Linked DNA regions of Arabidopsis thaliana. The protein of the gene in region 3 interacts with the protein of the main gene of each other region in a pairwise test. Each region holds a gene or a part of one and is shown on either strand. Other genes may lie near its edges.

Region 1 (6,145 bases), on a different chromosome or scaffold from region 3:
AGCTCCATTAAAGCCTTCAGCTCTGCATTTCCTCGAACATTCGACGGAGTTGCAAGAAAGATTGAGAGAAGGATCAGTAACGTGGCACATAAGGTAACCATTCTTGAATTTTCTTGTCTCTCTGTTTAGAAATTACTGAGCTTTAGCTCATTTATCTATCTCTCTTATAGAGCAGAATAATCTGTTTTATAGAGCAGAGTAATAAAGGAACGAAATTTATAGAGCAGAGTACTCTGTTTTGTACTGGATTGGGAGCTATCTCTTTGTTAAACGAAGATAGTAACTTTTAGAGAGGGACCAATTTTGTGTCTGTTTCTCGGATTTGGAAAACTGTAACCTTCCACTCTCGTGAATGAAAAGTTATTCTGCAGAATTTTCTTGTTTTGGAGAGAAGAAGAGAAAGAAGCAGAACCTCAGCTGGTGAAAAGTGGGAAGACAACACAACGCATTGAATACACTGTCTGTGTGAGACAGAGACGTATACTGCTTTTGAAAAGGAAAGCCAAATCTTGATGACTTTTTTGGTGATTTTTAACAGTTAATGTTCACATTTGTTAGTGGGGATGTGATGTTATTAGGTGTTTGTTTATTTATTATGTCTATTGCTCGAGATCTTGGTTTATTTCACTTTCTTTGCATTGGTTTATGATTTAGACAGACTTTAAAACATTTTTAGTATATTTCTTCTATATCACAAATTCTATATAAAACAAAAATATGCTTTTTGGATAACCATTTTAGAAACAAACAGAACTCGGGCAAATCGCAAAATCATTTAGCTATTTGATCATAACTTAAGTTTACGAATAAAATCCATAGAACTTAATATCTATGTGTGGTGGTTATTATAAATGGTAAAATGGGTAAAAGTGTAGAGCGGCTTTAATGTGAGAAAACGATCTAACGAGTGAAGTTTATTTAAGTTCATGTTTGGCGATTGAGCACTTTGGCTTATAGTTCATAACTTTTGGAATCATTTCGAAACTTGGATCATCCTCTTCTTCTTTGTCAACACTCCACCTTCCCATTCCCTGCATGTGCCACGTGCACGTGTCTACTCCTGCATACACATACACATACACATATTCATATTTAGTCTCTTAAAACAAGTCTTTGGATGAGAATAGTACTGATTAAAGAATGTTTTTTTTAGATCCATATTTCTAATAGTGGTCTAATATGATTAGTTGATTATATATACTATAAAATATAGTATACTATAAAATATAGTATATATGGTCTAAATATAGTATTTAGTTAATGATGATATCGAGATTTAGAGGACAATTATTCCACTAACTCTCTTTTCTTTTCCTCTAATTATTTGTAGGCTATAAAGTAAATTGATAAAAGATTAGTTATAGAAATGCTATTTGTTGGTACATGTATTCTAACCTAATTGGGTTTAAGAACAAGACAGTTTGACTATAAGCAGAATCCAATGTGGACTGAAACATTCATCTTAATTAGATATTCTTAGATATACTCTTTGATTATATACAAACTTTTATCATATGTCCTATTATACTGATGAATCTTACTATGTGGACAAAACTTAATTCACACAATGAATAAAATTGGTGAAAATGATAACAAAAAACAAATTAGTGAAGTAATTAAGCACGTTAAAACTAAAAAACGAGACTAGTAGATTTGACGACGACGATCGAGTTCAATGTGAAAGCATAAAACCTTATCAACGGCTATAATTCAGATCTTGATTACTTCAAGGTTTTTTAGATGTATACAATAGTTTTAACAAAAAAAAAGATGTATACAATAGCAATCAGACAACTTTGATTTATCTTCAATCATTCGTCTTTTATTTTTTGGCATTTCAAGATGGAAGGAAGACTTTTGAAATACTTTTATCTTTTCGTTAACTACTTTGACCTTTTACTTGATTGTTTTACTAATAACTTTTGTCATTTTCTCCTTTTTCCCACGTCTTTTTGAATCTATATGATGTCTTTTAAAACTTTTGAAAATTTTATATTTAGTATGCATGCTTACTTACATAGTTACATGTATGAATGTTTTATCTAGAACTCTAGTCTCTAGAAGGATATCCACATTATGCTACAAAAGTAATATAAATATCGACCAAAATTTGTGTAGCCTATGTGTCAAGGTTCTGATTTACACTTGAAAATACGCAAATGAGTTCTAGATGATGGAAAAATGATACACTATATCTCGAATGTTTTTACAAAATTATTAGATAGAATTTATCTCTACGTCAAATTGAAATTTTTGACAACTTGTTGTTGCCTTTACAATTTTTATTAGCAAGATCAAGATTAGATCATTATGTATAAATTCTATTTACTCACTTTTCGTTTAATACGCAATGCCATAGAAGTGTCTTGTGATTAATTGAACCATCTCATACGTTCTACATTAAAAAGTTCTTACTTTTTACTTTTTAGTAGTGCTGTATTTTCACAGTTGTTTTTGTATGATTAAGGAAGACTAATGCACTAATCTCTCCACCATTCTCGGTAGAAATGTCGACTTTGAGATATCATATTTTTATTAAAGCAATAAAACAAATAGCGAAATGCAACACAAGAAACATTTGAACTTTTTACAAAGCTCACTTTGAAATTTGAAAGTGTTATTACATTCAAACCAAAAGATATCAATCATATAATTTGGCTAATAAAACACATTTAAAAGTCTTAACTACTTAGCAAAAACCAATTTATCGAGTAGAGAGAGATTCAATCTCAAATTTGATGAAAAATGAACAAAAATGGGGACAGACTCAATTCGCTGCAACTTTCTTATCCCCAAGTAGTACAGCTTCTTTCTCTCGCCACACCGCATGAACCTCGTCTGTGCGAAATCGTTGTGTAAAGGTAGAGTCTTCGATCGGTGTTTCAATACCATTAACAAACGCGAGTAGACCTGTGTAAGCGATCATAGCTCCATTATCGATGCAGTAACGGTCATCTGTTGCAAACAGCTTACCATCACGTTCTGAGCACATAGTCCTCATCATTTCCTGCAAACGCTCGTTACACCCAACACCGCCAACTATCAAAACGTCTTTCTTGTCACAATGCGCCATCGCTCTTTCTGTGATCTCAACCAACATCGCAAACACCGTCTCCTGCAAGATCAACAAACATGAATTCATGATATTACTCTTAAACAGTCCAAAATTTGCATTCATGTGACAAAATTCATCAGTTAAGAACCAAGTGATAGCCTTACTTGAAGGGAATAACACAAGTCTGCTGGTGTACACTCGTTATTCTTGAGCTTCTCCTCTGCAGTAGTTTCGATATAACTCAAGATTCCGCTGAACGATACATCCATACCTTTAACAGCATACGGAAGATCAATAAAGTTTTCTCCTTTCTTAGCAAGCTAGTAACAACACCAAAAACCGTGTTAACATTGTTCTTGAATCTTTCAAGAATTCAAATTTACTTTACTTTCAAATGAAATCTACCTGTTCAATGTTATAACCAGGGCTTGGATCATTAGAAAGCTTCAAGACTCTAGCAAACCGATCCAAACAATTACCAACAGCAATATCAATAGTCTCACCAAAAATCCGGTACCTACCTTCACTATAAGCAATCACCTGAGTGTTACCACCACTCACATACAACACAACAGGATCATCAGCTCCAGTAACTACTCTCCCCATCTCAATGTGAGCCACACAATGATTCACAGCAACAATTGGCTTTTTCCAAAGCTGTGACAATACTCTAACAACAATGGCTGAAACCTGCAACGGCGCTCCCATCCCGGGACCTTTCGTATAACAAATACAGTCGATTTCTTCAGGAGTAACTTGAGAAGTCTCTAAAGCTGATTTGACTAAAGGAAGAACATGGTCAAGATGGTGATGTGCAGTCTCTCTAGGAAGAAAACCATGACCAGGTGGTGTTATATACGTATGCCGAGGATTTGCTAAGATAGTACCGTCTAAAGTCACAATTCCAACTCCAATCTTGTTAGCTGATCCTTCGAAACCAATGGCTATCATCTTCTTCTTCATTTCTTTGATTTAAAAACAGAAACTTTCTACACAGAGAACAACAAATTCAGGACTAGGTGAAGTAAAAATCCAAACTTTATTCTGAATCAATTTGAACTAACACAAATTATAGCCTTAGACGTTGAAGATGATGAACAAAATTAATCCTTTCGTTGATTGGTATTGGTATTGAGAGAGACCCAACAAAGAGATTCGTATAACCTAGGTTTCGTTTCCTTAGATGAAAGAGCCCTAAACCCTAATCTAAACACAGAAACCAATTCCATTCGAGACACAACACACTGAACCCATGTACTGTTGTTTGATTTAAATCAAAAACTAACCTGAAGCTGCGTGATGGCCGGAATCAGAAGTAGCTCACAAGCTCAAAGCAAAACGAAATTAGCCAGAGAGTTTAAAGAAGAAAAAGACGGCGATAAAGTCGCCGGGAGAGAAACGACGATGTTGAGTTTCTAGACTGTGTAAACGGCGTCGTTTATAAATGGGCCTAGCCCAATAACGCATATTTTGCCGCTAAGAAGGACTCATTTAGTGTGACGTGAAGTATTTGTGATATAATTATACATTAATTAATTTAAATAATTACAATTTTAATTTGTAACCTTCATACTAATTTGTAATTTGTTGACCCAAGAATTTTAATCGACTTGCCAAAAATATAACTACAATATAGTTTTATAGCTTTGGCATCGACTATTAGGCGTTATTATTGTAAGTAAAACTTTGTTATATTAAATGTTATCAAAAATGTAACTTGACACATCTTTTATACAAAGCATCAAAACTCCAGACACAGATAAAGAAAAGTAAACTTTAAACAAGAAAACTCAATTCAACATCCTTCTTACTTAAGCTGTGTAGAGTTTTGGATCGGACAACCTTGGAACAGGAATAGCCACAAGTGGAGACTTCAACTTAAGAACAAGACCAAACTTCTCTTCAACCTCAAACTTCTGTCCTTGAGGAGCTTTCCAATCAAAAGAGTGAAGAAGTGAAGCAATGTTGAACAGAACAAGTCTCTCAGCCATGTTTATCGCCGCACAAATCCTCCTTCCTGACCCAAAAGGCAAATACTTAAAATCACCTCCATTGAAATCAAGCGAATTCTCCAAAAACCTCTCAGGTTTGAACTCGTTTGGTTCATCCCAATTCTTAGGATCTCTATGAATCGCCCAAACGTTGATGAAAATCTTGGAGTCTTTAGGCACAGTGTATCCCGCAACCACCGAGGTTTCGCTGTTTCTGTGAGGAACAAGAAGAGGAAGCGTAGGGTGAAGCCTAAGAGTCTCTTTCATAACCGCTTGTAGGTAAGGAAGCTTAGGTAAATGTGATTCCTCAACGATGTTGTCTTTGCCAACAACTTGGTCAAGTTCTAGTCGGATCTTGTTTAACACTTCCGGTCTGCTCACAATCTCTGCCATGGCGAATTCGGATGCGTTAACCGATGTGTCGACACCACCAAGAACCATATCCATGAGGAGAGACTTGACATGAGTCATGGACAGAGGAGCTTTCTCATCATCATCTTTAACTCTAAGTAAGTATTGCAAGAAATCTTCTTCTTCTTCGCTCTTCTTTCCCACCATTTTGACGTGACTCTCCATAACTCTATCGAACAAGAGATCAAGCTTCTTCACATGGCCTTTCATCTGCTTAACCAATCCTTGGAAATCGAATCTTGAGAACAACGGAAAGAAATCTGAGTAGTTTTGAATCCCTTCTATGTCGGAGATATCAGATATTAGGGTTTTGAGCTCGTTTCCTAAGCTCGTTCTCTCGTCTCCTTCAACAGTGGCGCCCCACATCATTCTTGTCACGACGTTGAAAATGGAAAGAAATATTTGCTCTCCGAGGTTGACTGGTGATCCTTCACGAGCCATTTCCGACATGTGGACAATGGTTTGTCGGGTTTCTTCCCGGCGAGTGGAGTAGGAAGCTTCGAGACTTGGGGTAGTGAACATCTTCATGACGCAGAGCTTACGAAGTCTCCTCCAATGGGTACCGTAAGGAGACCAGAGGATGTCTTCACCACCGTAAGTGTTGATCTTTCCGACTTCAGGGAGATCGTGGTTGGCGAAAGTGATGTCGTGGGTTTTGAGAACCTCGCGAGCCATGTCAGGGGAAGAG
Region 2 (6,691 bases), about 19 Mb from region 3:
CACCACAAGACCAATCTCCTTGTTCAAATGAAGGGGTAAAGGAAATACGGTGGAGATGGCGAGATATCCTTATAACACGTGGTAAGGTGATACAACTTTGATGAACCACAAAGTCACATGGGGAACATATATAGAAAGGACAGTTGAAATGGTCCAAGGCACATACGTTGCAAGTTAAGGATATGAGTATTGGAAACAGAGAAAGTGTATGTTCATGCCACTTCGGATGGTGTATTGATAAGAGCGGTAGTTTCTCCACACAAGCTATGTTCATACCACAATCGCAAACCCAACAGTAATAAAATATCCATAGGAGTATTTCATCACAACAATAGCATTTCTTTTTTCGACATCCCCACGAGTTTTCCAAGATAAGCTGAAGAGAATGTTTTGGATGAAGAGGGTGTTTGACCTCAAGTGGAGCCTTCTCATATTCTTCATGATTATCACCTTCGCAACTTGGGCAGAGAAAATGAGAAATTTCGCCTGTTGTTAACCTTAGTACCCTCCAGTACTCGGGGTTACAGTACTCGGGGTCATATTTTCTACCATCACGCTTGACAAATCCCGTCACAAGATTTTTCCCGTTTGATAATTCTAGTTTAAATTGAGGGGCCAAGCATATTGGCTGCTTCGTCTCCCGTTCCGGCTCCGGCTCTGAATCAGACTCCATAGAACTAACGAGAGAGACTATTTGAGTAAAGAGTGACTTGAGCTCCAAATCTGAATCCATAAAGTCGAGATGAGAGAATATTTGAGTAATGAGTGACATGAGGTCTGGATCCGGCTCCGGTTCCGAATCTATAGAGTTGACGAGAGAGATCATATGATTCACAAGTGATATGAGCTCCAACTCCGGCTTGGAGTCTGATATAGAGCTGCTTAGCGAGATCATTTGAGAAATGAGCGATATGACCCCGGGCTCTGGCTGCACATTCAAGTTAAGAGAGCTAACTATAGAAATTATTCGAGTAATGAATAATAAGAACTTTGACTCTGCCTCAGCCTCCTCCTCCTCCTCAACGTGAGATCTAGTGAGAGCTAAGATTTGAGAAATGATCGATATGAGCTCCGACTCCGAATCCATTTTTTTTTTACTAGAGATTTTGAATAATGATGAATGGTATGAGAGATTTTGAATATCGAGTATCAAAAACTTGGTACTCTTCTATACACCAATAATAAAATAATGTATGTGCCAATAATTTAAACAAAGACAAGCATACACCGGCTGTCCGAAAACAAAGTATGTAATAATTATATTTAGATATTCGATGTCTCAACGGAACTCTAGGCAAAATATAGATCATACACTCATATACAGTACTAAAAGTCTAAAATATTACAATTAGCATTCGAGTTTCTTCACATTAAAAAGTAGCCTCATGATTTAGTTGATGGGGCAAAGGTCGGCCTATGGGACTTTCACATTTTCTTCTAACGCAAAACTATCGAATGATCTATTTTATTTAGGCCAAACCATGTTCGATGGACTAGTGAACATTAAACCTATAGTTTTCTTCACATATGTATGTTTTTGTTCCCATAAATATTTCTACCTTCTTTTTTTTGTTGGTTAAATCGCGGGTTTAGGCCAGAATCTTCCTCTGTATACCCGGGGATATCACAAGAAAATCAACTCTCTTCTACTACCACTAAGCCACTACCCCTTTCATTATAATTTTACCTTTGGTTTCTGTATTACACCCCATAACTTGCGGATCGTCACTTATTATATGTATAGTTGAAAATAACTAAAGCAATACAATATTACAAAGGACATGTCGACTTCGTCCAAACGCAAAGACAATGATCGATTAGCACTAACAAATCATATTTACATATATAATATGATTTTACAAATGAATAATTTGAGCTTAGAATTATGTTTATGAGGGGTCGACCTATGCAACTTGCATATTTTCTTCACAAACAAAACGAATCCATTGAAAAATCAGCTTTGACTTTTGATGCCGTGGTGTAACAACAAAAATAAAATAAGCTTTTAGTAACAACTTTGCTGAGATTCGCAAAATAGTCATGTTTACCGAAAAGATTAGGTCTGCGCATTCGGATGCCCGTTCGAGTTCAAAAATGAAATATCAAAGTGGGCCGAGTCCAGTAAGTACTTTCCTAAGACAAGTTTAAAAATTACTACTAATTGTTGCATATCAAAGTTTAACTTTTATGTCGATCTCTGGTGTTAATCAAATAAGAAGCAAACTTAGAAGAGAAGCTAATTGTGTTTTCTTCATTATTGCCTTTCCTCTTCTTCGATTCCCTTTGGCCAGTTTTGAGTTGTACTTATAGAAAATGCTCCTATTCGTTGTACTTTAGAAAAATGAAGTTACCGGAGACTAGAAAATCAAGCATACATTTCAAATTCGTCAATAACAACGTGGTTTTGTGCATTAGGATGGGATACTTCTATAATTAATATGACATGAAGAGTTACTTAAGTTTGAATACTCTGACCATAGATTTCTCTGTTTGACATTACCAAATCATTGAAAGTTTAGTTTAACCAAACATATTAAATGGCATTGGACTAAATCAGTACCATTCATAATCCAGGAGATATTGTTCATTTGTTTGCATCTTCTATTTGTTTCTCCTAACAATACACTTAGGCTATAGTTCTTCATTTTTTCAAGATCTCTCTAATTCAAACTGAGAGTTACAAAGATCAAAAGATGGATTCTAGTTCTTGGCTCAACAATATATTCAAAGGCTTAAAGCTCTACAGCTACTAGAATACAAACATTGGTAAGTACATTATACAACAATTTTACAACAACAAAATGCAGACTTGCGAAATCTGCTGGCGTACAAACTGTTTCTCATATTGGTGATGTTATTGAATGTTAAACGACGGCTTTGAGTAGAGCCTCATGTACAGCTTCTTTGGTTGGAAGGGCCGGGATTGCGCCTCTCACTTTAACGGTTAATGCCCCGCATGCATTCGCAAACATAAGAGCCTCTCTCAGTCGCTCTTCGTCCTGAGTCAAACAACTCAGTTTTTTCAGCTATATGCTTTTGTTGTCATGAACATATGATAAGAACAAAGCTAAGAAACTGCTATACTACGATCTGCCGAGAAAGCCTTATAAACCTAGCCCTCACTAACTGCTTTCTCACCAAACTCACCATAGCTATAAACTGCTACATGCCTACATCGAGTTTAAAATGACAAATGAAAGGTTACCTGAAGCAAGGAGAGATCATTGGCTAGTTGCGATAGTATCCCCGCAACAAATGCATCACCAGCACCTGTTGTGTCCACTACATCCACCTTCAATCCATGCACTCTCCCACTAAAATCCTGTAAAGTGGAACAAAGTTTTTAAGTATTATGACCTCACATTGCGGTAAAAAAAACCGCCGTTAAACCTTGAGTAAGAAGAGAAAGGATACGTAGTTCTCATCATAATCCGCTTTAAGTTGGACAAGTGTATCAAAACCAAAAGGTAGAGAGGAACTTTTCACACCTTGGTGTAGTACCGACAGCCTTCAGGACCTTCAGTGACAAGGAGAAGTTTCAGCTTAGGATGAAACAACTTGCGTACAACATTATCATCATACGGATCTTCTCCTTTCGTTAGAAAGACAATCTCCTCTTCACTTATCTTGAACATTTTATCAAACAGAGACAACAAGTTTCAGGTCAAGAACAAAAGTGAAAGATAATATACGCAAATGTAACCATACATATATAGAAAAAATAAACCTTTATAATATCAGCAGTCTCCCAAATGCTCAGAATCTCTTCCCTAGCATTGTCTGCAGAAGGCCACAACGGAAGCCTAAGGTTAGGGTCATAAGAGAGTATAACACCAGCCTCCTTAGCCGCCTTAGCTGCAGAAATATGCGCAGACTTGCACGGTTCGGTGATAAGACTTATCGAACCGTAATGAAATATCTTTGCCTGACAAAAGATCGGTTAACATTTTGAAGTGGTTGCTACATGTTTTGCAGTGTATAAAACTTCAAAGCTTACCTTTTTGATCAAATCAAAATCAAGCTCAGACTCCTCTAACAACATATCAGCACTCGGGTTTCGGTAAAACATAAACTCTCTTTCACCTTCATTAGTCAAAGTCACAAAAGCTAAAGCAGTTCTTGCTCCTGGATCAAACCTCATACCATCATTGTTCACATTATTATCTTTCAAAATATTCGCAAGCATATAACCAAACTCATCTTCACCAACCTATACACACCATAGAATCAAAGTTTCAAAATGTTACAATCTAAAAAACAAGAAGACCAAGTTTTTGCCATTCACCTTTCCAATGAAAGCTGAAGAACCACCAAGACGAGCAATACCAACAGCTACATTAGCAGGTGCACCACCTGGAGCTTTTTTAAAAGCCGGTGCATCGGCTAATGAAAGTCCGCTTGTCGTCGGTACAAAATCGATTAGCATTTCTCCAAAACAGACTACATAAGGAGATTCTTGTGTTGAACCATCACTAGACAATGCTCTTCCTTTAAAAACAGAACACAAATTGTATGAATCAGTACAAAGCAAAATTCTCTTTCTCAACAACTATATACAATTTCATGTACAAAGACTATATAATATACAAAAATACAAATTCTATAAGATTAATGCATAAACCAAGCATATTCTGCAATTTCAACATTTTATGAGAATTTATGGTAAAGAAAACCAAAATGTGATGGAGAAATTATTTGAGATTTAACCTTTGAGATTAGATCGTGAATTGGAGAGTCTTGAAGGAGAAGAAGTAGTAGCTTTGATGGAGATAGGACGTTTTGAAGTGAGTGAGTGAGGAGTTGATCGGAAAGTTGGACCGGAGAAGCAGAACGTAGTAGTAGTGGCTTGGAGAGCCATTGCCGGAAAACGCAAACGGGAAACGCAGATATTGGGAACCGCGTCTTGGAGAAGCTACTTTTTGTTTTTTATTTTATGATTGTGAGAGAGGAAGCTGAGAGAGCGACAGTGAGAAGTAGCGGAGCAACCAAAGGAAATCTGAAAAGTCATTTTCATTTTAAACGGATCAGAGTTTTTAATTATAGCGCTATTAACATAATCACAAGTTTTAAAATTTGATTAGATTGCGTAATTACTAATTAATCCTTTTTTCTCTGTTTTCTACCAAAATGAACTTTTTTTATGCTAAGATATATAAAGAAATAATCCAACATAAAAGAGTCATAAGATAAACCACTAGAAAACATTAAACTTCATATCTAAAATCTCAAGTCATCACATCGATCACCTCATTCAAAAGGTTAGTCTTTTGTTTCACGCATTCGCTATTTTTAACCTTCAACATCTCTTCCATTTTCTTGCATTCACTTTCATCAGCCTCCAACAACTCCAACCTCTCTTCAATTTTCTTCTTAAACTCCATAGGCACAACATTCCATTTACGTTTAACCGAATCCACACCAAGACTCTCAATTGATGGAAGTAGAAACGAATTCTCAAACCAATCAGAGTTTGTCACATCTCCATCTTCTTCTTTAACTTTTTTACCTTTAGGTGAAGAGCACAAGTCCGTCTTCTTAGACGTTTCTTTAGTTCCCCAAATAGACATGGCCAGTTTGAAACATTTCTGTTCATGACCTTCAGAAAAACCGTTCTTCCTTTTCCTCGTATATTTCCTCTTCAATTGGCTAATCTTGCCAATGTATTGTTGCACACTAGCCTCGAAGCTAATGGAGTTCTTGACGAATTCTATAAACCCGTGTCTATCCTCAAACGGACTTTTCCCTGTAACATCTTCAAATTTAATAATTCCTTGTAGCATAACAATCTCATCTTCCTCACTCCACAGTCTTTGAAAATATGGGTTTTTTGTCCATTCTCCAACTTTCTTCTCATCTTCTGCTGAAACCTTCTTGGCTCTCTTCGAAGTCATGTCCGTTGAGGTCCCTTCACTCCGACGCTTCATCTCAGACGGTTGTACCTTGCCGGAGCCGCCACAAAACTCCTCATTCTTCTTGGAAGTTGCACCGGTCACAAGACCTGGAGGAAGATAAATAACATCATCTTCTTCATCTTCAAAACATGTCTCCAACGGCTTGAGATGCTTCTTTGACATATCAGAATCTTCAAACTACGATTTTGGTTGTGGTGTGTAATGAAAGCTTGGGGTTTGTTTAAGGCAACTACACGAATTTATAAATTAAAGAGCTTGTTGTTTCTCGGTAGATATAATGGCCAATAGGGTATAAGTTGCTTGCTTACTTTTCTAACTTCCAAAACCCATACAATGAACGATCTTTTTTCACATGAGCGTAATGATGATTTTTTCTTTTCCCAGTAAATTATTTTGAAATTAAGAAAACGAAAAAAAACGACTAAACCGAAAATAAATTTTGTCTGAATTGTTTTTGGTAAATAGGTTAGATCATCTCCATCGGTTACAATTTTGAGAGTTGCTTTTCACTAATATAATATAAACAATTCATAAAGGAGGAGAGAGAATAACATAATTACAGAAACGTTTCTGTGCAGAGAAATTTTGAAGTAATTAGACAACTGAAAAAAAGAAAAGAATATATTAATTACAAAATTAAGTCATAATAAAATATTAGTAATTTTTTTTTTTGAGAAACTTTGAAGGTTTCTTACCAATGGAGATGACCTTAGATATTCAACAGTTTATGTTTTCAATGTTCACACACATTGATGGAAAACATGCCATTACAAAAGATG
Region 3 (8,218 bases):
AGCCAGAACTAGCTTCAGTGATGCAGCGGATAAAGGTAGGTTCTGCTTCTTCTGATTCTTTCTTTTTTCTCTTTGAACATCTATTTTTCTCTGTGCACTGCGTTAGCATTTATGATGTGGTTATTTCCAGACCATAAACAGCATGGCTCACATGAAGCGGACAAAGTATGGGAAGGTTGACTTGGATTATGTTCTTGGAATTGGAGGGTTTGATCTAGAAAGGTCCGGTTTTATTTTACGTCTTACTAAAAATCTTATTACGAGTCACTCCGAAAACTTCTGTCCAAAGTGAATTGTAGCTCCTTACATTTGTTATGGTTTATTGGTTGTGGATTTCCTGGTTTAAGAGGGCTGATTTTGTTACTCTGATTTATTGCTGGTGGCCAACTATTTTATCTTTCCAGAATTGAAAGCTCTGTGAATGAAGAAGAGAAAGAAGATCGCGAGGGTCATGATGATCATCACCATGGTCATGACTGCCATGATCACCACAATGAGCATGAGCATGAGCATGAACACGGTATGTTATAGTGTTACCAAATAATGGCCTTATTACTTAATAACGATCGCCTACATGCATTGATTAGTTTGCTTCTGAAACTGCAGAGCATCACCATTCTCATGATCACACCCATGACCCTGGTGTTGGTTCAGTCAGTATAGTTTGCGAAGGAGACTTAGACCTCGAGAAGGTATTAACCCAATATGGCTCAAGTTGTGTCACATGTGATGCATAAAACTGTAGCACCTGACGTGTTACTTATAATTAAAACGATTGTTGAGATGTGCGATTGATTACTTGCATCATCTATAACCTTAGTTTTGAAAATGGATCAGGCTAACATGTGGCTTGGGGCGCTATTGTACCAACGTAGTGAGGATATCTACAGAATGAAAGGTATCCTCTCCGTACAAGACATGGACGAGAGATTCGTGTTTCAGGTGACCAACCTTTGTCATTATTTTGATCATTTCGGATGAATTCTAAAGCATCGAAGCCTTGGGATGTAAATTATCTCTGACGTTTGTGGTTTATAATGGTTGGAACAGGGAGTTCATGAAATATTTGAAGGATCACCTGACCGGTTATGGAGAAAAGATGAAACAAGAACCAACAAGATTGTTTTCATCGGCAAGAATTTGAACCGGGAGGAGTTAGAGATGGGTTTCAGAGCTTGCTTGATTTGATTATAGGACCAAATATTTAAAATCATTCCATTTTGTAATCAACTGGTCAATAGATTTTTGAACAAGAAATATCGTCTAAAGCTTGACACTAACTACAAGAGCCTGAATCAAGAACATATTAAAGCCTTCACCGTACAAAAAGTGAGTCCCTTTCTAACACAAGCGGCAAAACTACACAAGATCCCAAAACCAAAATGCCCATAAGTTAGAAGGTAAGATTCCTACTACTGACGACCAAGTAAATTCCTCCACTTATCCTTCAAATCCACCTCGCTCCTATCAGCGAAAACAACAGGGTATGAATTCTTGATATCTTTCCATGATTTTCCATATTCTTTAACTCCTTCCCTCAAAGCTGCCACTTCTTCAGAAGTCCAGAATTTCATTGGCCTTCTGGGACGCGGTCTTTCTAATCTTCCTTTCTTCAACGGTGATACATTCAGAGGTTCCGGGGTTGGTAGATGAGGCCTGACTCTTCTAGACGATGATGTTCCCTCACTATCTTCTGCATCAGTCCTATTTGCCCCATCAGGCTGAGGAGTGACATCAACTGAATGCTCCATTGCATTGTTAGGTTCTTGATCTTGCCTTGTTATAGGGTCGATGAGTCTTTGAATCTCCAACAAAAAATCCTTAAGCTCTCGAGCTACCAACATTTCCCCCTTATTAAGACTTGGCTCGTGTTCCTGTTCATGTTCATTCACCTTACCAACCCCATCAGGATTCTCCACACCACCCACTTCTTCAACATCATTAGCTTTCTCTCTATTACCTCCTCTCCGGGAAGCATATGGTGAATCCTTACGCTTAAGAAACCTCTTTCGAGCTTCTGATTCAAGAGAAGAACATCCAAGTAGTGCCCACTGCTCTTTGAGAAGCTGATTAAGATGAGAGATGGCATTGTACCTGATGTTAGTCTCACGAATCTTCTGGTAAATCTCAGGTTCCTCAAACGCCTTGTTTAGATCACTCTCCCATTTCAACAACTCACGAGTCACCAAGTCGCTCTCTTTCTCCTTCAATGTCCCAATCCGATTCCTCCAAATCCTCTCAAGGGCATCACCGAAGAAGCCATCCGAAGCATTCACTGGCCACATAAACCTAAGCGTGCATTCCACAGCAGTCCAGCAATACGCAGATTTGAGAGATCCCATGATAACCGAATGTTCCTGTAACAGAAGCTTCTCAAGAATTTCGAGGAGATCAAGCATTCCTTCGTCTACGGTACCTTGAATCATGGAATTGGAGATATCCCGCAAAACAGCAGTTAGCTTGAGTTTTACACAGTCGTCGGAATCTACTGGTTTCAGAGCCGATAACAGTGGAAAAGCGTAAACCCTAGGATTTAGTTGGCGTCGGAGGAAAAATTCAGCTACCCATTTGTCCATCACTTCCATTTCCAAGACTTTGCAAGTAAAAGATGCGAAAACCCGCGATCAGTTTTCGCCGTCGGTGCGTGGTTAGGGTTACAATTTTGGGAAGAGGAAAAGCTCCGACCAACTATGGTGGCAACAACACACGTGTGAATCATTCAAATTTAAAATGTGTTTTTTTCTTTTAATTAAATAAGACGAGACATTCAAGCGGCCCATTATATAATCGGCCCATAACGAAACGATGTTGTCCTGATCCGAATCGGGTGGGTGACCCGAGATCATTGGAGACAGAGAAAAACAGTAATGACTTTTGAGCAATACAATGTTGATCCAATACAAATATGGCCGGAGAAGGAGACAATTTGTCCGTATTTGTTTCCGGCGACCAGAGGGATAAGCATTTCCACAGATACATTTAGAGAAAAAAAGACAAGTTTATTGATACCAAGCCAAAAGAGACCCCAACATACATATGAACACACCAAAATCCCTTTTTTATTTTCCACTCTTGACGTTTTCCAAAAAAGTCACAACTTTTTATTTTTGAATCTAGCATAATCCAATCAAACTTGTGATCTTAAGATGATGATGATGATGATGATGATGATGATGATATATCATTCATAGGAACAACACCACCATCATTGAGCAATTTCTGCTCAGTTTTCTTGGGCGATTGAACCTCCCCACCAAACATTTGCTTCCTGTATTGCTGATGTAATCTCCCAAACAGCTCCTTCTTAACAGACTCAAAAGCCATATCCAATCTCTCCAACTGTTCAAGAGCATTCGGATTATACATAAACAAACCGTAGAAAAGCTCAAAGCTATCACTCGATGTGTTCTCCACCAAATCCAACAACGTCTCATAACCTTTGGTGTTAATCGGCGAAGACTCAACTCCATATTTCTCCAAAACCCTTCCCATAGTATGCGTCACGAATTGCGATCCAGCTGCGTAATAATCATGCTTCTCACAGCTCATTTCAACCATCTTGCAACCTTCATTCTCAAAAATTCTTAGAAACTTCTCACACCTCTCTTGTCTTGAAGCTGCGTCTCCGATTCTCACCTTATCGTAGACAAAGGGCAAGCCAGACCAAGAATGCTTACCACTCTCAGGTCCAAACATTGGATGAGTACAGAGAATGTCAAACTCCTTAGGAAGGTATTTAATGAAGAGGGCTTTTGGGAATTCCTTAACGGAGAGAACATCGACGAAGAGTGTGCTACGACGGAGACGTTGGAAAGGGAATGATCTGAGGACTGATTCTGTGGAGAGGATTGAGGTACAGAGGAGGACAACGTCGGGATGTTGTTCACAGAGATCGTGAGGGTTATCGAAGAAACGAGCTCCGATTGAGTTTGCGGCGTCGGAGTAATCGGAGCGGGAGTGAGTGATTAGATCGTGGCCGTGTCGAATTAGGGTTTTGGAGAGGAATTGGCCGAAATTGCCGAAACCCAAGACGGCGATTTTGAGAGCAGAGGATTTGCGGTACTCGGATTTGAGTTGGGTTTCGTAATCGAAGATTTGGGCGGCGTCGATTGCTCGAATTCGAAGAGATCGCGGCGGGGAAATGAGGAATGTGGGTGAATTGCGGCGGAGATTGGGTGGAGAAATGAGGGGTTTCGCCGGAGAGAAATGGAGTAGCATTGTGAGTAGTGTTGATTGAGTTTTAGCTCCAAAGTTGGGAGCTTAGAGAAATCTGTGAGAATAGAAGAGGAAGAAGCGGTTGCGCCAAAGGAGGAAGAAGATGCGAGCGAGCCTCAAAAATAAACGGATCAATTTTATGTCGTGGCCTAAACGTGGTGATGCTGATTGACCCAAGAAAAACAAAATGCTAAATACACAACAACACAAGGACCATAATGGAAATAAAAAATTGAGGTCAAAATTAAAAGTCGTTCCAAGGAAATTTGTAGGTACTGTTTTGTATTCATTTGTATTTAGTAACCCGCATTTACAATATTTCTTTTTCTGAAGGACTAGAGTTTTTATTTGTCCATAATTTTATTTTGATTTGTTACTTTAAAGTTCAATCTCTTCCTATATATGAATCTTTAAAAAGAAAATTTCGTAATTTTCATATGCTGACTATAGTTGTTGTTTTTTGGTTTTCTATTAATTTGGCTATTTGTAGTAATTTTTATTAGGATTTAGGAGGGTTATTGATATTTCCCTCGTTTTTCTCATAGAAAAAAAAAAACAAAAACTCTAATTTTGACTTTTGTAGTAATTTTTATATACTGACCCCTAATAAACATGATAATTACAGAAAACCCCTCAAGTTCTCTTTCTTTGCTCATTTCTTCACGAGAAGATGAAATCTTAAACCTCTCAAGTTCAGGGTCTTCTTTCCCAAACGAAAATGACAGGTTCGATCTCGACCTCTTGGCTCTTGTCGTCTCCTTCGAATTCGAATTCGGCTTCGAGCTCAGAGTCCTACTCTTTCATAGCTACCTTGAAACCAGTTCGTTATTATCCGTTTCAATCACTGACACCAAACCGGATTTCGTCGAGATCTCCGTTGCCCTCAATTCAAATTCGAGCTGGAATCCGAGAGTTACGAGAACGAATCGACAGTGTGAAGAATACCCAGAAGATAACGGAAGCGATGAGACTCGTGGCGGCAGCTAGAGTTCGTCGAGCTCAAGATGCAGTCATAAAGGGTAGACCTTTCACTGAAACTCTTGTGGAGATTCTCTACTCAATTAACCAATCTGCTCAATTAGAAGACATTGATTTTCCTCTGAGCATTGTTAGACCCGTGAAGAGAGTTGCTTTGGTTGTTGTTACTGGCGATAAAGGATTGTGTGGTGGTTTCAACAATGCAGTGACCAAGAAAGCTACTCTGCGAGTTCAAGAGTTGAAGCAGAGAGGAATAGACTGTGTTGTGATAAGTGTAGGTAAGAAAGGGAATGCTTATTTTAGTCGGAGAGATGAATTTGATGTTGATAAATGTATTGAAGGAGGAGGTGTTTTCCCAACGACTAAAGAAGCTCAAGTTATTGCAGATGATGTGTTTTCCTTGTTTGTCAGTGAAGAGGTTGATAAAGTTGAGCTTGTTTACACAAAGTTTGTGTCTTTGGTGAAATCTGATCCTGTGATCCACACTCTGTTGCCTTTGTCGATGAAAGGAGAGTCTTGTGATGTGAAAGGTGAGTGTGTTGATGCTATCGAGGATGAGATGTTTAGGCTAACGAGCAAAGATGGGAAGTTAGCTGTGGAAAGGACCAAGCTTGAAGTTGAGAAGCCTGAGATCTCACCGTTGATGCAGTTTGAGCAAGACCCTGTTCAGATTCTTGATGCAATGATGCCTTTGTATCTCAACAGTCAGATTCTAAGAGCACTGCAGGAATCTTTAGCGAGTGAGCTTGCGTCGAGGATGAATGCGATGAGTAATGCGACTGATAATGCGGTTGAATTGAAGAAGAATCTGACGATGGCTTATAACCGAGCGAGACAGGCTAAGATCACTGGGGAGTTGCTGGAGATTGTGGCTGGAGCAGAAGCTCTTCGAGAGTCTTAGGTAGAAACTACAGCTGTGTAAAATCATTTGTTGTTTGTGGTAATAAATGTCATGAAAGAATTTACAGATCATGAGAAATTGAGAATCGTTTACACCTAACGCCGACAAAAGACTAACAGTAACAATAAATTCCAATTATGTCTCGAAGAAGACAACCAATTTAGGAAATATAAGCAGCAGAAAGTAACGGCTAAAACAAGTCTCGACCGAATACTTGGTGGATTTCTAAATTCTAAACAGAACAAAAAGAAAACAGAAAGACAGAGAGTGAGAGAAAGAAACATCATTTGGTTGGTTCTTTAAATGAGCCTCATCAACAAAAAAGGTTTTTTAACCACCTACGGTAAACGAAAATAAGAATGGTAAAAAAGAAAGTTTAGAATCGATCGCCATCATCATCTTCTTCTTCTTCATCATCGTCATCTTCTTCCCTCGGATTGAGTTTAGAAGTACTTGAAAAGGATACCACCGTGAGTGGCGAAGAAGGGAGCAAAGACAAGAGACTCAACAGCCATGAGCTTGATGAGGATGTTCAATGAAGGTCCTGAAGTATCCTTCAATGGGTCTCCAATTGTGTCTCCAATCACAGCTGCCTTGTGTGGCTCTGAACCCTTTGGTCCAAGGCTCTTTGCGTGCTCTGATACACCAGCCTGCGAATATATAACAATGCTTAAGGATTTGACTTCATATTTTCAAATGGTTTGATTTAAGCTACAAGAAAATTCCATTACCTCGATGTATTTCTTGGCGTTGTCCCAGGCACCACCAGTGTTAGATGCTGATATGGCGATCTGAATAGAATAAACAGAGAGCATCGATGAGCATTTTTTTTAAGAATAGTTATTCACAATTGAATTGAGAATATACTTTACCTGAACACCGGATACAAGAGATCCGGCGAGGACACCAGAGAGGGTCTCAACTCCAAAGAAGAAACCAACAATGAGAGGTGTGAGCATGACAAGGCAACCAGGAGGTATCATTTCCTTGATGGAAGCATCGGTGGAGATCTTGACACATGTGGCGTAGTCTGGTTTTGCGGTTCCTTCCATAAGTCCAGGGATGGTGTTGAACTGCCTGCGAACTTCTTCAACCATCTTAAGAGCTGCACTTCCCACACTCTTCATTGTCATGGCAGAGAACCAGTAAGGAAGCATGGCACCAACAAGGAGCCCAATGATAACTTTAGGGGTCAAAACATCTACGGTGTGGATCCCTGCACGGCTCACAAAGGCACCAAAGAGAGCCAAGGAGACTAGGGCAGCAGAGCCAATGGCAAATCCCTGTACACAACAAACCAGAATAACATGTCAAAATACAACACAAGCAAAGGCAACCTGAGGAATGGTTCAAGCAAGCAAGCTCTTTTATTAATTCATCGGATTGCAGAAAGAGGTTAAGAAGGCTCCATACCTTTCCAATAGCAGCAGTGGTGTTTCCAGCGGCATCAAGAGCATCAGTTCTTTCACGGATGCGGTGGCTCATTCCAGCCATTTCAGCAATACCACCAGCATTGTCACTGATGGGACCATAAGCATCAATTGCCAAACCAGTGGCAATGGTACTGAGCATACCAAGAGCAGCAACAGCAACACCATACATAGCAGCAAAGCTGAAGCTAACGAATATACTGATAGCAATAGCAAAGATTGGAATAATGACGGATTTGTAACCAAGAGCAAGGCCGAAGATAACATTGGTAGCTGCACCAGTTCTGCATGAATCTGCAACATCTTGCACAGGGCTGCAAGAATAGGAGGACATAAGAGTTAGCTCTACTAGCTGGGAAAAGTTAGTGACTAAATACAGCTAAAATGAGTCTTACCTGTAGGCGTTACTAGTGTAGTACTCAGTGACGAAACCAATAATGAGTCCAGCCCAAAGACCAACACAAACACAAAGGAATAGCTGCCTGAAATCCAAAATAATGCAAGACTTAAAAAAGTGCAACGAGAAATTTGAATAGAGAAATGCAGGAAAAAAACAAAAGCAATCATCCACAAGGAAATTACCAGTTCTTGACAACTTTTTGTGTTCCAAAGTTGAAGATGGTAAAGGAGGTCGGTAAGCCAACCCATGACACAATAGCAATACCAACAGTCATAATAACAGTTGAGATAATGA

Evidence for each region.
Region 1: the proteins of AT1G15710 (region 3) and AT4G22720 interact in a two-hybrid assay, tested with the Arabidopsis thaliana proteins (one large-scale study listed by BioGRID).
Region 2: the proteins of AT1G15710 (region 3) and AT1G66430 interact in a two-hybrid assay, tested with the Arabidopsis thaliana proteins (one large-scale study listed by BioGRID).

What each region holds. Positions count from the first base shown.
Region 1 is NC_003075.7:11,935,340-11,941,484, reverse strand, and holds AT4G22720 (Actin-like ATPase superfamily protein), read right to left. Parts: upstream 4,544-6,145; 5' UTR 4,342-4,543; intron 4,045-4,341; 5' UTR 4,019-4,044; coding exon 3,461-4,018; intron 3,376-3,460; coding exon 3,220-3,375; intron 3,116-3,219; coding exon 2,768-3,115; 3' UTR 2,516-2,767; downstream 1-2,515. Other genes in the region: AT4G22730 (Leucine-rich repeat protein kinase family protein), read right to left, coding at 1-101; CYP706A2 (cytochrome P450, family 706, subfamily A, polypeptide 2), read right to left, coding at 4,867-6,145.
Region 2 is NC_003070.9:24,776,567-24,783,257, reverse strand, and holds AT1G66430 (pfkB-like carbohydrate kinase family protein), read right to left. Parts: upstream 5,002-6,691; 5' UTR 4,859-5,001; coding exon 4,708-4,858; intron 4,489-4,707; coding exon 4,286-4,488; intron 4,211-4,285; coding exon 3,998-4,210; intron 3,926-3,997; coding exon 3,728-3,925; intron 3,627-3,727; coding exon 3,489-3,626; intron 3,323-3,488; coding exon 3,206-3,322; intron 3,000-3,205; coding exon 2,865-2,999; 3' UTR 2,516-2,864; downstream 1-2,515. Other genes in the region: AT1G66440 (Cysteine/Histidine-rich C1 domain family protein), read right to left, coding at 1-1,087; AT1G66420 (DNA-binding storekeeper protein-related transcriptional regulator), read right to left, coding at 5,226-6,074. UniProt on the Arabidopsis thaliana protein: May play an important role in maintaining the flux of carbon towards starch formation.
Region 3 is NC_003070.9:5,400,505-5,408,722, reverse strand, and holds AT1G15710 (prephenate dehydrogenase family protein), read right to left. Parts: upstream 4,594-8,218; 5' UTR 4,219-4,593; coding exon 3,142-4,218; 3' UTR 2,813-3,141; downstream 1-2,812. Other genes in the region: AT1G15730 (Cobalamin biosynthesis CobW-like protein), read left to right, coding at 1-35, 131-222, 405-520, 607-692, 838-942, 1,051-1,188; TRFL5 (TRF-like 5), read right to left, coding at 1,413-2,585; ATPC2 (ATPase, F1 complex, gamma subunit protein), read left to right, coding at 4,934-6,094; AVP1 (Inorganic H pyrophosphatase family protein), read right to left, coding at 6,538-6,744, 6,826-6,885, 6,967-7,377, 7,508-7,838, 7,920-8,006, 8,107-8,218. UniProt on the Arabidopsis thaliana protein: Involved in the biosynthesis of tyrosine. Has a weak prephenate dehydrogenase activity.